Lonchura striata: one gene and its partner. The protein of the gene in region 1 purifies or fractionates together with the protein of each later gene. This does not show direct contact. Links are inferred from orthologs where the notes say so. Each region holds a gene or a part of one and is shown on either strand. Other genes may lie near its edges. The genes, in order: CDC42BPB and FAM167A.

Evidence for each region.
Region 2: the proteins of CDC42BPB (region 1) and FAM167A purify together in Homo sapiens (co-immunoprecipitation; 3 studies listed by BioGRID and IntAct, counting the BioPlex papers as one, with this or other methods). This does not show direct contact. The link is inferred for Lonchura striata from reciprocal best matches to the Homo sapiens genes CDC42BPB and FAM167A.

What each region holds. Positions count from the first base shown.
Region 1 is NC_134608.1:10,474,751-10,481,847, forward strand, and holds the start of CDC42BPB (serine/threonine-protein kinase MRCK beta), read left to right. Parts: upstream 1-3,896; 5' UTR 3,897-4,056; coding exon 4,057-4,234; intron 4,235-7,097. UniProt on the Homo sapiens protein: Serine/threonine-protein kinase which is an important downstream effector of CDC42 and plays a role in the regulation of cytoskeleton reorganization and cell migration. Regulates actin cytoskeletal reorganization via phosphorylation of PPP1R12C and MYL9/MLC2.
Region 2 is NC_134605.1:110,776,849-110,784,634, forward strand, and holds the start of FAM167A (protein FAM167A), read left to right. Parts: upstream 1-4,538; 5' UTR 4,539-4,734; intron 4,735-7,786.

The DNA of each region.
Region 1 (7,097 bases):
AAAAAATTTAAAATCAGATCTGTTCCAGAAAAACTGGGCTGTATTTTTCCACTTAAATATGCCACAGGAAAAAGGAACTGGTAAGATGGATAATTTAATTCATTTTAGCCAGATCACATTTATTTTTAGCCTATGGAATTGGCACAGATGAGTAACAGAAGCAGAATACCTTCAGCTACATTTCCAAGTTTATGTACAATTCCTAGTAGGAATATCAAATGCCACCTTTGAGCTCAGTAGTTTTCTGTAGCTGAAACCCTTGCTATGAAAACCCAGAATTATTTACAATGCACACGGCTTTCAACTCTTCGCAAGGTTTTTTTAAAACAAAATTTCAACTAATTGTGGAATACCAATAGCATCACTCATAAATAATCCTGCACGTGCTGGTCTGCTGTACTAAAGCTTCCATAGCTGTTAAAGCTGGATTCAATATCATCTGTCACCCATCTGTCGTTCTCCCAGCACTGGAGCCGGTTCTTCCCTGCTACTGGTGCCAGTCAGGAATAGCTCCCGGAACCCCTGAATTCTGCTAATGCAAAACAGAGTGAGGAGACTGGAAACAACAGAGCGATCTGTAGGTAGAGATGGCGATTTCTTCTCCAGCTGTAGTCTCCTTTATCTCTTCCTTGCTAAAGGAGGTGATGATAATCACCACCTGCGGGAACAGATAAGAAGGGCTAAGATAGATATTGTAACAAGATCTTTAAAACTCTGTTCTCGCTGGCCATTACTCTGATCAACTGCGTGAAAATTACTCTCCAAAGTGGTAAGAAGCTGAAAATGTTAGGCTCTCCTTTTAAATAAAACGACAGCACCAGAAGAACAATTGTGATTGCTGAAACACCAAGGCTTCTCTAAATGAATGTATCTGTGATACGACACAGTATGAGGTCAGATGAAGGAACTGTAACCAAGGAGGAACACCTCGAGAGAACAATGAAACCTTCGAGATCTGCTGCAAAATATTTTTTTTCAAGTGGATGTTTGCAGAAAGAAGTACAAAGAGATAGAAGTTATTCAGGAAAAACAAAACTATTTTAGTCTACTGTGGGTTTTCATTATTTTAAAATGATGGGTTCTCTGTGTGATTCATAGGATCTTCTATCAACTTGCATTTTTTCGAATTAACAGGTCTCTACACGCCTGTATCTTCTTGACCCGGGTACTAGGTCCAAATGCACAGGATGGGATTATTATGAACTGAACTGCTGTCAAAGAGATATCAAACATGCCTGAGGGCCAAGGGATCCTAGAAACAGGTATTTCTGTAATCAGCTGCTGGCCCTCTGTGTCCCATGGTCTGCTCCACAATAAATATCCATGGCTCCGCCTGGGAGTGCTCCAGACCCTTGGGAAAGGGCAGCTCCCGTGTGCAGCCCTGCTTGGGTTTGGCCTCGCCGTTGGCCCTGGAGGTGGCAGATGGGAACGTTCAGGTCTTTCAGCAGTGGCTGACATGTCACGTCTGACCATGAGCAAAGCCCAGTCTGGCTCCTGCTGCTGGGGGCAGGGTGTTCCCAGCCCAGACAGAACCAGCGCTCGGCTGCCTCCTTTCCAGTGCCATGGTTTTGAACGCACAGCACTTCAACTACCTGCCGGGGGAGACAGGCAAGGAAACAGCATCCTAGCCAGTTCGACTTTGCATCAGGACCTGACTGGCTGCATTCCTGCAGAAGTGAACTCCCATCCCAAGCTACTCAGCATCTTGCCTTGAGGTGCTGCAGCTTCCAGAGAGAACAGTTCTCAGAATAAGCTGTGATGGGAAAAAAAGCAGTGCTGAGGAAAGGTTTGAGTGCCTTACACCCAGCTCCCTTCTCCTTCAAGGGATCAAGACAGCAGCTGTGAACACGCAGGGCTCTTTTGCCCAGGCTAGCTGCTGCTGAGAAATAAAGTCCTGTCACCAGGGAGGTTCTAAAAGGTATAAAAAGCCACAGCTTCCAGACACCATGTCCTGCTGCAAAGCCATGCCTGCTCCATTGAGGCAAATCACAGAGCAGGGAATCATGACAAAGGTTGGGAAAGAGAAGGTCCCACTCCAAATATGGTAGGAGAATTCTCCCAGTGGCCACAGCATCTGGTGAAGACTTGTGGGGATGGTGGCCTTGGGGTCACCACATCCTTCATGGGAACCTATGGCCTGGCATGGCCAGGTGTGGGGCTGGGTGGCTCGGGCAGGCTGCCCGGTCCCCAGGGCACCTGCCTGACCAGTGAGGAGGGGACTTTGCCCTGGAGCCAGGGATGGCAAAGGCCAGGGCACACACACTGTTGTCCATGAAATGGGAATCATATCTGGTGTGCAACAAGCCAAGAATTGCACACTCAAGAGAGACATTGATAATTTATTTCAGGGTTGTGCAAGCCTGGGTGCTCAGTGGTCTTGCACAAATGAAGCACAAGCCACCGGAGTTTCTGCACCATTATTCATAAACAAAAATCAGAGTTAGCAACTTACCAAGCTCAGCCCCTCTACTAAGATTGGTTAGTTATTTCCATACAAGTTACATAACCCCAGCTAACTTCTACACATGCTCAGAGAAAGTGTCTTCATCTTGGCAGGGATCTTTCTGACCTGTAGGTGTGATCTTTAGTATTACACTTAAGATAGTTCAGCAATAGGATACTTGGGCCTGGAGTATTTTCTGCAAGTTAGCAATGGAGCCCCTGGAGCAGGTCCAGCAGAAGATAGGAAGGATGACTGGGGGACTGGGGCATCACTATTATGAAGAAAGGCTGAGGGAGCAGGTCCTGTTCAGCCTCAAGAAAACACAAGTGAGAGGGGACCCCATCAATGTCTACAAGTATCTGAAAGGAGGGTGGCAAGAGGATGGAGCCAGGCTCTTCTTGGTGGTGCTGCGCAATAGGACAAGAGGCAATGGGCAGAAACTGATGCAGAGGAAGTTCCACCCGAGCTTGAGGAAGACCTTTACTGTGCAGTGACCATGCACGGAACAGGTTGCCCAGAGAGGGCTGGGAGTCTCCCTCACTGGAGACATCCAAGAGCCATCTGGATGCCATCCTGTGCTGTGTCCTCTGGGGTGACACTGCTCAAGTGGGGAGGTTGGACAAGACCCCGCTGTGTCCCAGACCCACTCAGAGAGTCTGTGATTCTGTGCACAGAGACAGACACCAGCATCGCCATGTGCTGCGTGCCTGAAGCTCCTCAGCGCCAGCAGGTCCGTGCGGGAGGGATGCTGCCTGTCCCGCTGACTAGGGCTCCTTTGTCGTGCTGGAAAGGACACACAGATCTTAGCCAAAAGAACCTCCTGACTGGGGCTAACACACACACAGAGGCACAGGCACAGACCCACACACACACATATACAGAGAGGGTCACACACACACACACACACATACAGAGAGGGTCAGGCACACAGACCCACAGACACATACACACACATACAGAGAGGGTCAGGCACACAGACACAGACACATACACACACACATACAGAGAGGGTCAGGCACACAGACCCACAGACACAGACACACACACATACAGAGAGGGTCAGGCACACAGACACATACACACACATATACAGAGAGGGACAGACACACAGACACATACACACACACACATACACACACACACAGGGTCAGGCACACAGACCCACAGACACACCCACACAGAAACACGAAAGTGCCAGCGCGGACGTGCAGCCCACGCGGCCGCTCTCGCCCTCCGCGGCGAATCTGCCGCTACGGCGCGCCGCGCGGCCCAACCTTCCTGCGCGGCTTCGCGCGGCCCTGCCCACGTCGGAGCGCGCGGGCGCCGCGCGGGGGCGTGGCCGGAGGCGCTCCGAGGGACGCGCCGGGCCCGGGGAGGAGGAGCGGGATCGGCAGCGGGATCGGCCCTTCCCCGCCGCCGGGGCGAGGCCGCAGCGGAGCGGGGCGGGGGGTGGCCGGGTTCGGCCCATGGACCGTCCGTGCCCGACGCGGAGCCCGTGGAAGGAGCCGCTCGGCCGCGGGAGGCGGCGCGGGGCGGCCGAGAGCGGCTGAACCCCGGGGCCTTCGCTTCGCCCCGTCCCGTCCGTGCCCCGCGCCCGCCGCCCGAGCGGCACCATGTCGGCCAAGGTGCGGCTGAAGCGGCTGGAGCAGCTGGTGCTGGACGGGCCGCAGCGGAACGACAGCGTGCTGAGCGTGGAGACCCTGCTCGACCTCCTGGTCGGCGTCTACGCCGAGTGCAGCCGCGACTCGCCGCTCCGCCGCGACCGATACGTGTCCGACTTCCTCGAGTGGGGTGAGCCCGGGGCGGCCGCGGGCGGGGGCTGCGCGCGGTGCCCGGCGAGAGGCGGCGGGGCGGGGCGGCCCCGCACCGCGATCCCACCGCGATCCCACCGCGCTCCGGTGCGGCCGGAGACGCCGCCCCTGGATGCGGCGCCTCCCTGGGGAACACCCCCGCCGCCGGCCGGGCCTTGACCCTCCCGGTCTCCTCCCTCGGTCCCCGGCGAACCGCTTGGCAGCCGGCAGCAGGAGCACAGCGGAGTGTCCTTGGCCTGGAACCCTGCTCGGCTTAGCCCGAAACGTCAGGCTAATCCAGTGCTCCTCGGAGGGTTTCCTACCCGGGGGAGGGGAGGAGGGGAGAGCACCAGGCTCAGGCTTTGAAATGTTGCTCTGGTGCCGGCTCCTTGCTTTACAGAGGGCGTGTGTGTGTGGCTCGAAGAAACAACAGTTCCCGTTCATCATGCTGTCTTCTTTAATTTGGGCATGCCCCCCAAGGACAGAGTATTTCTAGGCAGCCTTTCTAAGAGCTTTGTTTAATGGTTCCCTACTGTTAAGCAGGCTGATAACGAGAGACCTCCAGTAGTCCGGAGCATACTGACAAAAGAAGATGTGGATACTTTTGATGGCACTTAGGATAAAAGTTTTACATCCAATGTTGGTTAGTTAAGGCTATTGACTAGAGGTATGTGGAGAGCAGAGATCCTTCCCTACTGCATGTCTAAACGAATTTATGTTAAAACGGCCATGGTGGCTGACTGGTTTATTCAGCTGAGTAAGTTATGAATAATAATGTATGACGAAGGTGACTTCTCCATGGAATAAGAATTGGAGGGGAGGGAAGAGTGATCATTGCTCACGAGAACGTTGCCCCGTTTATCAGCTGTTCCATGCATGTACAGTTAATTAGGCTTTAAAAGAGCACTCTTCAAAAAAATCAAAGAACAACAAAAAAAACGCCAACCAACAAAACAAAGGATTTCCTAAGGGAGAGGGAGGGGCAGATTTACTTCAGTAAATGCTAATGTGTGTCTTTAGCACTAGAGAGGACAGCACTAACATGAAGGGACAGCTGGTTCTCCTTAATTTCTGTGGGGACCACCACTCTTTGTCATACACTAACAAACTAAGAGGATTCACTTCCTGGACTCTTCTATTGACGTCAGTAATGCGATTGCCAACTGAATAATTAACCACTTTATCACATCTGCCCCGCAAGGCTGCAGCCTGGGGAACATTGATTATTTGTTTTGTCATGGAAGCTTTGTATGTCTTCAGCAAAGAGCATTCAGAGTTTTTTGTTTTCAAGCTGATGGCTTGAAGGAGTGAGCACCAGCAAATTGTTAAGTGTGATAGATCAGACTGCAGCATACTTTGAAAACTGAAGTTGGAAGGATTTGGGGCAGGCCAGAGAATGATATGCTTTTTCTATAGCGCTGCTGGTGGTTGTGTCTTACTGATTGATCCCAGCGTTGTCATTTTTTGTGTGATGGAGAGGCCGATTATCCAATTGTTTATAAAATCGCTTTTTTAATTCTATTTATTGTGTTCACTGAATGTGAAAAGGTTACTGACTTGATGAAAAGTATAGCTCGCAATAAAAACTGTGTAGGTTTTACTGCAGTGTGGGATTACTCTGGTATAACAAAGTGCCTATTCAATAAATAATTGAAATGTATGTGAGCTACCATCTGGTGCTGCAGAGTGGGGATAAAAGTTTATAATCCAGGCTCTTGATGGTAAGGGGGTGGACCTAAGTCTGGACTGTATATTTGTGTTCCATCAACAAGGGATACCCTTAAAACCAATTACAGTTGATACTGTGTGTTGCTTCCTTTCCTCCAAGCTGTTAAAAACAGCTAAGTGCCAGCAAGGAGACACCTTTTATCTGTGTCCTAATGCCCTCACAGTGTGTTTCCACTGACGAGGAACTTGTTTCTGCCTCCAGCTAATAAGGAAAATATCATGCCAAACATGCTCATCTTCCTTATGTCATGATGTGTCTTAATTAGAGACTGATTTGCTGTTAGGAGATATTCTGGATTAATGTGCACAAGTTTTCTGTGCTGTTATGTGTCTATAGAAGCATCAGAATGTAGTTAACTATTTGGGATATACTTTGAAGATCAGTGTTTCTTTATCAATTGGAGACAGAAGGAATTTCCTTTTGACAAGATGGTGACTTACCACTGGCAATGGAAATGAGCTGCATAGGTATTAAATTTGAATTAAGATGAGCTATGTAACAAACATTTTTTTAAAATTGGGTGTGAGGTATCACACATGTAAAATTCCCTTGAAATTATTCAATGTGGCTGATGGGCTTGCTTGCCTTCATAATTGGCTAGAGAAAATAAGAGTTCAGGTGTGGTAGTTGAGGCAGGATTTTTTTCTGGCTGTGGGATGCAGAGGAGGTTGATTCTGAGTTGTGTGGTGTAGTTGCTGGACATGGATATCTCTGCTTTCTGACAGAGCACAGTGCTGTTCATACTCTGTAGCTGGTGGACGCTGGAGAAATGAGGAGTCCAGAAAATAAAAGTCCCATGTTCATCTTGTGAAACTTAAGCTACCTCCTCTCTATTCAACATCTGCGGAAGCCGTGCACCTTACCTGTGGAGGCTGATAAACTCCAAATGGTGCATGCCATTGCTTCTGTCCTATTAATTCCTCTGCTGCTTCCTGGTAGTCCTGCCACAGGCTTAAATCTTCCTATTTGCTAACCATAGAAGAGCGCAGGGTGTGGTCCTTTGCCTTGGGGCAGTTTGTGGCTTCCATTGCTTTACAAATCTTGTAAGAATCTGCCATTTTAACCTTGTCAATTATAGCTTTCCCATGGTGAGTGGAGCTTTCAAACAGACTGTTCTTTCCCTATACTGGATGTA
Region 2 (7,786 bases), on another chromosome or scaffold:
TAGGTTTTGGTGATGTAGCCTTACTGGGTGGACAGATAAGACTGGAGGAGGAATTTTTATTCACTATCATTTCTGGAATTAATTTACAACAAACATTTTGAGTGGAAGTGGAACTGAAATCCCTTTTTTACAGCAAAGAAGAGAAGTGGAAAAAGCATATATTAATCCTGAGATTTTAAAATGCTTTCTACTTTTATGGATTGCTGTAATGAATTGGGTTAGTAGGTTTATCAAAGGAAAGCCATTACAAATCAATCAGAATCTTTGGTAAGGGTCTTGATTTTATATGGAAATGGTTTCTAGTCCTTCAGATCTTGGGGAAATATTTTTGAGTTGAGGGAAGAATAATTCACTAACTCAGTGCACACACAAAGTTAATTATGCAATCACCACATGGATTTACTTTTACATTTGAATAAAAACAAATGGGCTGAAAACTCCCACCATGATTTTGGTAGGATTTCAGGAACAATTGTCCTCTGCTTTTTTCTTTGATGTTTGACTTACCTGGGAGAAACCTACAGAGAAAATAAAGTAGATACTCCAGGGAAGGATCCTGATCTACTGGAAGGTGTCCCTGCCCATGGCAAGGGACTGGAATTAGATGATCTTTAAGGTGCCTTCCAACCCAAACCATTCAATGATTCTCTGAAGACTGAACCAGACCAGTGCCAGTCCCTCAGTGATCCACGGAGGTGAGCAGCCAGGTGACCACAAGTGACCTCTGCTGCTCCTGGGGACACCAGGGGACAGCATCACCTGGGGACCTGCTGCCCTCTGGAGGTGCCTCTGCCGTGTCTCTGCCACATCTCCAGGTGATGCTCCAGGCATGCCCGAGGACTCTTCTGGTACCAGTCCCGGTGGAGGGCATGGAGGCTCCACCTGGCTAGGATGGAACGATGATGGTTGGGACCACCAGTCTTCCCTTCCCATCCTTGAAAGACCAAGGCCCAGGGAACTGTAAGATCACAGGATGGTTTGGGTTGGAAGGGACCTTAAAGATCATCCCATTCCACTCCCTGCCATGGGCAGGGGCACCTTCCACCATCCCAGGTTGCTCCAAGCTCTGTCTAACCCGGCCTTGGACACTTCCAGGGATGGAGCAGCCACAGCTTCTCTGGGCATCCTGTGCCAGGGCCTCTCCACCCTCACAGGGAAGAATTTCTTCCCAAAATCTCATCTAAAGACACTCTCTTCCAGTTTGAACCCTTTCCCCTTTGTCCTGTCACTCCATGTTCTTGTCCCAGCTTTCCTATATGTTCCTTTGGGTACTTCAGGAACTTTTCTTTACAGGGACTTTGCTTTAGGGGAAAAATATTTATTTAAGGACCAGCTGAGAAGAAAGCATTGATGCTTGTGCCGGATTCCAGCACCGGTCCCACAGAATGGCCACACAATCCTACCAGGAGATCCAGCTCCTCCATGCTTTGTTAGCAGGATACCTGCAGGGAGAAACCACCAAAATCCAGCAGAAAGGGCAAGAAGCAGAAGGTTCAACTCCAAACTGAGTTGAGCTGCTGCTGTTGTGGTAAAGGAATGGCCATTTCTGCCCATTTTGGGTGGTAAGAGGCAGCTCAAAAGGTCCAGGTAAGATTTAGGGGGTTCTAAGGCACCTTAGAGAGTTTGTGGTGCTCAGACCAGCACAGGGGATCCCAAGGAAGTCTGGTTGCCCTATCCCTGGAAGTGCCCAAGGCCAGGTTGGACAGGGCTTGGAGCAGCCTGGGACAGTGGAAGGTGTCCATGCCCATGGTAAGGGGTGGAATGAGAGGATCTTTAAGGTCCCTTCCAACCCAAACCCTTCCATGATTCTACAAACTACCACTACAGCAAGCAATTTCCAGCTTGGGCTTTGCAAAACCTCATCCCAGCAATAACTCAGGCTTGGATCCATGTGTTCCCGAGGATTCAGCAGTCCTCTGGAAAAGGTCCTGTGCCCAGGGATGCTGTGGGAGCTGGCAGTCCCTGGAGTTCTATGGGCAACAAAAAGGATTTCTTGTGTCTGAGGAAAAGAAAAAAATACTGAGCCATAGATGTGGACAGTGCTGGTGTTGCACAGGTTTATTTTGACTGATCACACCTAATTTCAGGTGTCCATTCCAGGTGGCTGGTGTTAGAGTATTTGCATCACCAGCGGGAGCACCACTCTTCTTCAGCAGCTCCCCACCAGTGTTTTTTTGGATGAACACAACTTATCCAAGACAAATCCAGGCCAAAAAACATTCAAACCCATGGACTGGCTTCAGAGGGATGTGGCTGCAGCCTTTCACTGCTATCTTATGGCAGCTCATTTGAAATCCATTAAGCAACCAAATTAAAAATAAACATTTACAGAAGAAGGAGCGGGTGACGGTGTGTGGTCTGTTCCTGCGAGGAGACAGGCAGACAGACAGACAGACAGACATCCAGCCTTGGGAGCAACACCTCTGCTGTAAACTCACCCTGCTAGACCTGGGCTCTGGCCGTGAGGCCGACTGACCCAGTCTGGCCACGTCCCTGTGATTCAACGCTCCTGGCTATCAAATCTGGGTGGCTGAATCCAAATCATTTGTCAGGAAGGGGCCCCAGTCTTGGTCATTCCCAAGCCATGTCCTGGGATTGCTCATCCCACACCAAAACCGGGCCAGGGGCTGTTTCACCCTGTGCCTGTCTGTCCCCTGGTGCTGCTTGGTTCATGGGCACAGAATCGGTTTTGATTTGGATGAGATGTTGCTGGAAACGTTGAACCTCTACGTGCTTGATGGACCAGGCTCTGCTCTGTGGGACCCAGCAACAGGAGAACAGGAATGGGCAGGAATGGATGCCCGGGAAGTTCCACCTGGACATGAGGATGAACTTTCCTGTGCAGTGACTGAGCACTGAACAGATTGTCCAGAGAGGGAGTGGAGTCTCTTTCAGTGGGGATATTCCAGAATTATCTGGACACAACCCTGTGCCCTGTGCTCCGGGATGGCCCTGCTGGAGCAGGGAGGCTGCACAGTTGATCTATTGTGACCTTCCAACGTGACTCCTCTTGGGATTCTGGGATTCCTGTTGCTGCTAAATGCTCCTGCAGGTCTTTGTCAGACAGTTTTGAAACAGCCAACAGCTCTTCCATCTCCTGTGGTGCCTCTCCATCATCATCAGCCTTCAGGTGCCTCCTTGCAGCACAGTGAAAGCTGATCACCAGGCTGAGTTTGCATATGCAGATCTGAAATCTGATAAAAATGGATGCTGGCAAAGCAAAAAAAAAAAAAAAAAAATTGAAAAAAATTTGCATTTTCATCAGAAATGTGAAAATGCTGCAGTTCATTCTGAATCTGCATTGCTGCATCCAGGGCACCCCCTTTCTCTGCCCTCCAGACTTCCAAACCCTGTTCAGGCACAGCCTCTAAATTACTGTGGGGTCTGGGGCACCCCTGGCACTCGAAGGGAGGTGGGAAATCCCAGCCCTTCCATGCTGGAGCTCAGGAAGGGGCTGTAAATCTCCCTGTTGCCCTCGGGGGGGAAAGGGGATGGATCAGGCAGGAAAAGGGAAGGGTGAAAAAAAAAAGGAATAAAAAGGCTTTGAGGGGTTTCTCTCACAAAAGCTGAATGTGGGAATGGAGGGAGGGGCCTGGGTGGTTCGGGGTCAAGGCTTAACCCTTCGCAGCACCAGCTTTGCAAAGGCGGGCGGTGGCTCTGAGCCCCCAGATGTGTGATGTGTGGGATGCTTTGGAGAGCGGCCCCCAGGCTTTGAGGGGTTAACCTCCAACTTCTGGCGAAAGAAGGAAAAAAGGAAGGAAATCCCTCTGTCTCCTGCCTTTGATTCTGGACCCCACTCAGCCGGCAGCCGGGGCGCTGCCTCTCTCAGTCCCTCCTCGGAGGCAGCTAAAATGGTTTCCAGCCCCGCTGGGGCAGCAACGGGAGCTTCCTCAGCACAAAATTCAGGCGCAGGCTGGTTCCCAAGCTGGTTTCTGCCCGGGGATGGATGGTACCAGCCTTGGAGCCCCGGGGCACCATCCTGGGGCTTCCCAGAGGTGCTGATGCATCCTGGCAAAATTCCCCTCGGCACACGTAGTGGGCAAGCTGTGGCACCTGGAAAACGTTATCCCAAAGCTCTCCTGAAGGCCAGAGGAGCCCGAACTCCTTGTGGGGCTGATATCCATGGAAAGAAACACGATCTGCATGGGGACACCAGCAGGTTGGTGTCGGGAAGAGCCGTAGATTCCTTCTGGAGCACAGCAGCCCTCGGGGCATCTCCTGCAAGCCTCGAGGGGACCTGCCCTCCACTGGACCGCTCCATCCCTGTTCTCCACGCCGAAAGCATCGCTGATCTTCCTCCCTCTCCTGGGTGCCGGAGGATGTTTAGGACCCGGGCGGTGCAGCTCCTCCCTTTCAGGTCTCTCCAGGGTTATTGCTTGGTGGGAGGTAGGTTCAGGGCTTGGTGGTATGAATGAAAGAGAGAGAGGAAATCGGCGCTGAAAAGCTCAAACTGGAATAGCTCGCCTGTCTCCAGGCAACAGCCCTGACGCAACGGCTGGAAAAAAAAAAAAAAAAAAAGAGTCCCCTAAATGAAAAAAAAAAAAAAAAAAAAAAAAACCCAACAACAAACCAACCACCACACGCACAGATTTCTGAAGCGAGACACAGAGCAGGAGGATGAGACAGACTCCGGGAGGCACTGGTGACACCGCTCTGCGAACACCAAGTTGGGGACCCGAGGTGGAAGGAGGGAGCCCAGATGTCCGTGCAATCCCCGCTCTGATTCCAGCCCCGGTGAGTTTGTTTCTGGTGGTGGCCTGGGGGGACAGAGCCACCCTGGGGACACCCGGCACGGGAGATGCCGGAGAGCTGCCCGGGGCTGGAGGGGACCCCGGCAAGGAGCTGGGGAGCAGCAGACAGGGGTGATGGGGACCCCAGCGAGCAGCACCGGGGTCTGGCGAGCTGGCTCTGCCGTGGCGGGGCTGGGGTTTGCACAGTGTCCCCCCAGCCGCAATCTCCTGCCTCGCCGACATTCCCTGGAAATGACCGCCACGGTGGCTCCCCATTGATCGGGAATGTCTGAATCCTCCTTTCCCATGATGTTTGTGGATTTTGCTCTCAGCCGGGAGCAGCGTGGAGCTTTTCACCCGCTCCAGGAGGATTTTCCTGCACAGGGTGAGATGTAACGGGGGAGAGGCTGCCCGGCTTTCGGGACAGTCACCTGTTGCTCCCTCTGCCCCCAGCCTGAGATGTGCAGGAGCCCTGGAAACCTTTCCAAACCTGGAAAGGTTTGTGGGGTTGTGCAGTGCAGACATGGTGGGATGAGCGTGGTGGCTTCGCAGGGCGTATCTACCTCGGGTTTTTGAACCAGGCACCGTGTGCTGAGCAGAGCAGGTTTCCACCTGCTCACGTCTGGCCCTCGCAGCTCACGTTTACACCGAGGAGAGGGGGGAAAAAAACCCAGGCAGAACTTCTTCAGAGCCCTTTATAACAGCTTGCGGCTAATTGTTAAAATAATAGCGCCAGCCCAGCACGAGTGTTTGTGCAAGCCCAGCCCCAGCGCCCCGGGGTGCTGCACACCAGGCAGCATCCCCATCCCACAGCCCGGACCGCTGACACCTCTCCCACCACGGGTACCTCTCCAAGGGACCCCCATCCCCGTTTTCCTGCAATGCACCCCCCGTTTTTCCACCATCCTGCGCCCTCCGGAGCTTCTCTACATCGGAGACCTCAGCGGAGGCGGGGGGAGGTGGGGATGGATGAAAACCAAGTTCCTGGCTTCCAGCGAGGAGCTGTGCCCAGCTGATTCCTCCGGCTTTGTCTGCTCGTCCCCGGGATCCGAGGAACTCCCCACTTTCCAGCGGGAACGAGCCTGTTTTGGCTGCTGTGGGTTTGCTCTGTGCCAGCCATCATTTCAGCACACGGGAGCTGCTGCTGGTTTTTGCATCCCGGCTTTTCTCTGCTTTCAAATGCCCATTAAATTCCCCCCATCCTTCATGGGGAGCTTGGTGGGGGGGAATCTGTTCACCACAAAAATCCACCAGGACGGGAAGAATCCGGCTTCTGCCGGGCTCTGGGCTTGCAGCAGCCCTGCAGCCATTAGGTGTTTGCAAAATGTAGCAGAGACACTGCAGGGAAAAAGAAAAAAAAATTAAAAATAATCAGCCTCAGAGCAGCGTAGCCCTTCTGGGGGGAGGGAGAGGAGGGTCTGTTTGCAACCGGCTGATCTTAAATGATATTAAATCCCACAGTGCAGCTCAGCACTGGGAGAAGACAGGTCTGAGGACAGAGGCTGGACGATCATGGTTTGGATAATTGGATGGGACAGGGGGCATGTAAAGGGGATTAGGGGGTCACCGAGGGGCTGACCCCACTCCTCTGATCATGTTAACTTGGAGCCTGGGGGTCTCCAGTGGGAGCTGGCTCTGGCGTTGTCCCTGCAGGGGCTGAGCTCAGTGCTGGGCAGATTTGAGCTCGACAAAACAAAACAAAAAGGTTAGGTTGTTTTTCTCTTTCTGAAAACACACCCTTGCATGCTGCATTTGGGGAAAAAAATAGCTCCCCGTACTAATCTCCTGGGAAGAGAGCATTTCTCAGCCTGCCCTGGCTCATTCCCAAGGAATCCCAGCCCTTTTCATTACCCTGGGCACACAGGCACAGAGGTCTCCCTGCCGAAATGCGGCCGTGCCTGGAGTGGCAGTAGGGGAAAAGGGGGAACAACCAGCTGTGCCATGCCACAGGTCCTTTGGGGGCATCTCTGGGAACAGGTTAGCTGTGCCACCCCTGAGATGAGCTCCAAAACCTGCTGGCAGCCTGGGGCAGTGCATGGAGAAGAAACCCTTGCACATAATCCGTGGCTCCACAGAGCTCAGAACACACCAAAGGTGGACAGAGTGACTTCACCAAGAGCCTGAAAACTTGCCTTTGCTTCTGCTCCTTAATCCTTTCCCTCCTAAAAGGAATCCTGCCTGGTTTGGGCTCATGGGTTGAAAGCATTGACCCCCGTTCATCTCCCCAGTTTGCAGCTACTTCCAGCTGACTGGAAGACTGGTTTGCTGGAATGCCAAATACTTCTTCATGCAGGATTTCCACACAAAGCCTGGAAATCTGCTGATCGAGGAGAGCCTAAGTGGTCTGAAAATGGAGCTGCAAGGCTCCATCCGAAGCAGGCAGCAGCCTCAGCCCTGCTCCCAGCTAGAAGCTGTGTGGAGGACGCAGGAGGGATGAGGTGCAGTCGGGCAGGAAGGTGCAGATGTGTTTACTGAAACAGGCTCTGACTCTGCCGGTGATGCTGGAAATCAGCCAGGGAGAAGTGCCTTGGGGCAGGGAGTGCAAACTGGTCCCCTCTAATCTCACAGACACAGAATGGTTTGGGCTGGGAGGGAGGTGCCTTCCATAAAACTCACCCACCTCCTGATATGGACAGGGACACCTTCCACCATCCCAGGTTGCTCCAAGCCCTGTCCAACCTGGCCTTGGACACTGCCAGGGCTGGGGCAGCCACCTCTGCATCCCTCCACTCCTCTGATGGATTCTCTGCAGCCCCCACTGCCCTCCCCTCCTCCCTTGCAGTGTTCAGGGCTCTTTCTGGAGGCCATTTGGGCAGAAGGGAGTGCTGGAGCAAACTCTCATCTTGTTCCAGGTGATATGTGAATGGAAAGCCCCTCTTTTTCCCTTTTCCCTGTTTTTCTGTGAATGTCATGTCCACATCTATGCCTAGTGCCCATTTTGGTCTCATCACTGCTGCCATTTTTCCATGGAGAAAGGAACAAGCTCACAGACAGGAGTGTGGCCAGAAGGTCTCCATGGGCAGCGTGTTCAGTGTCACTGAGGGCTCTGCCATGAC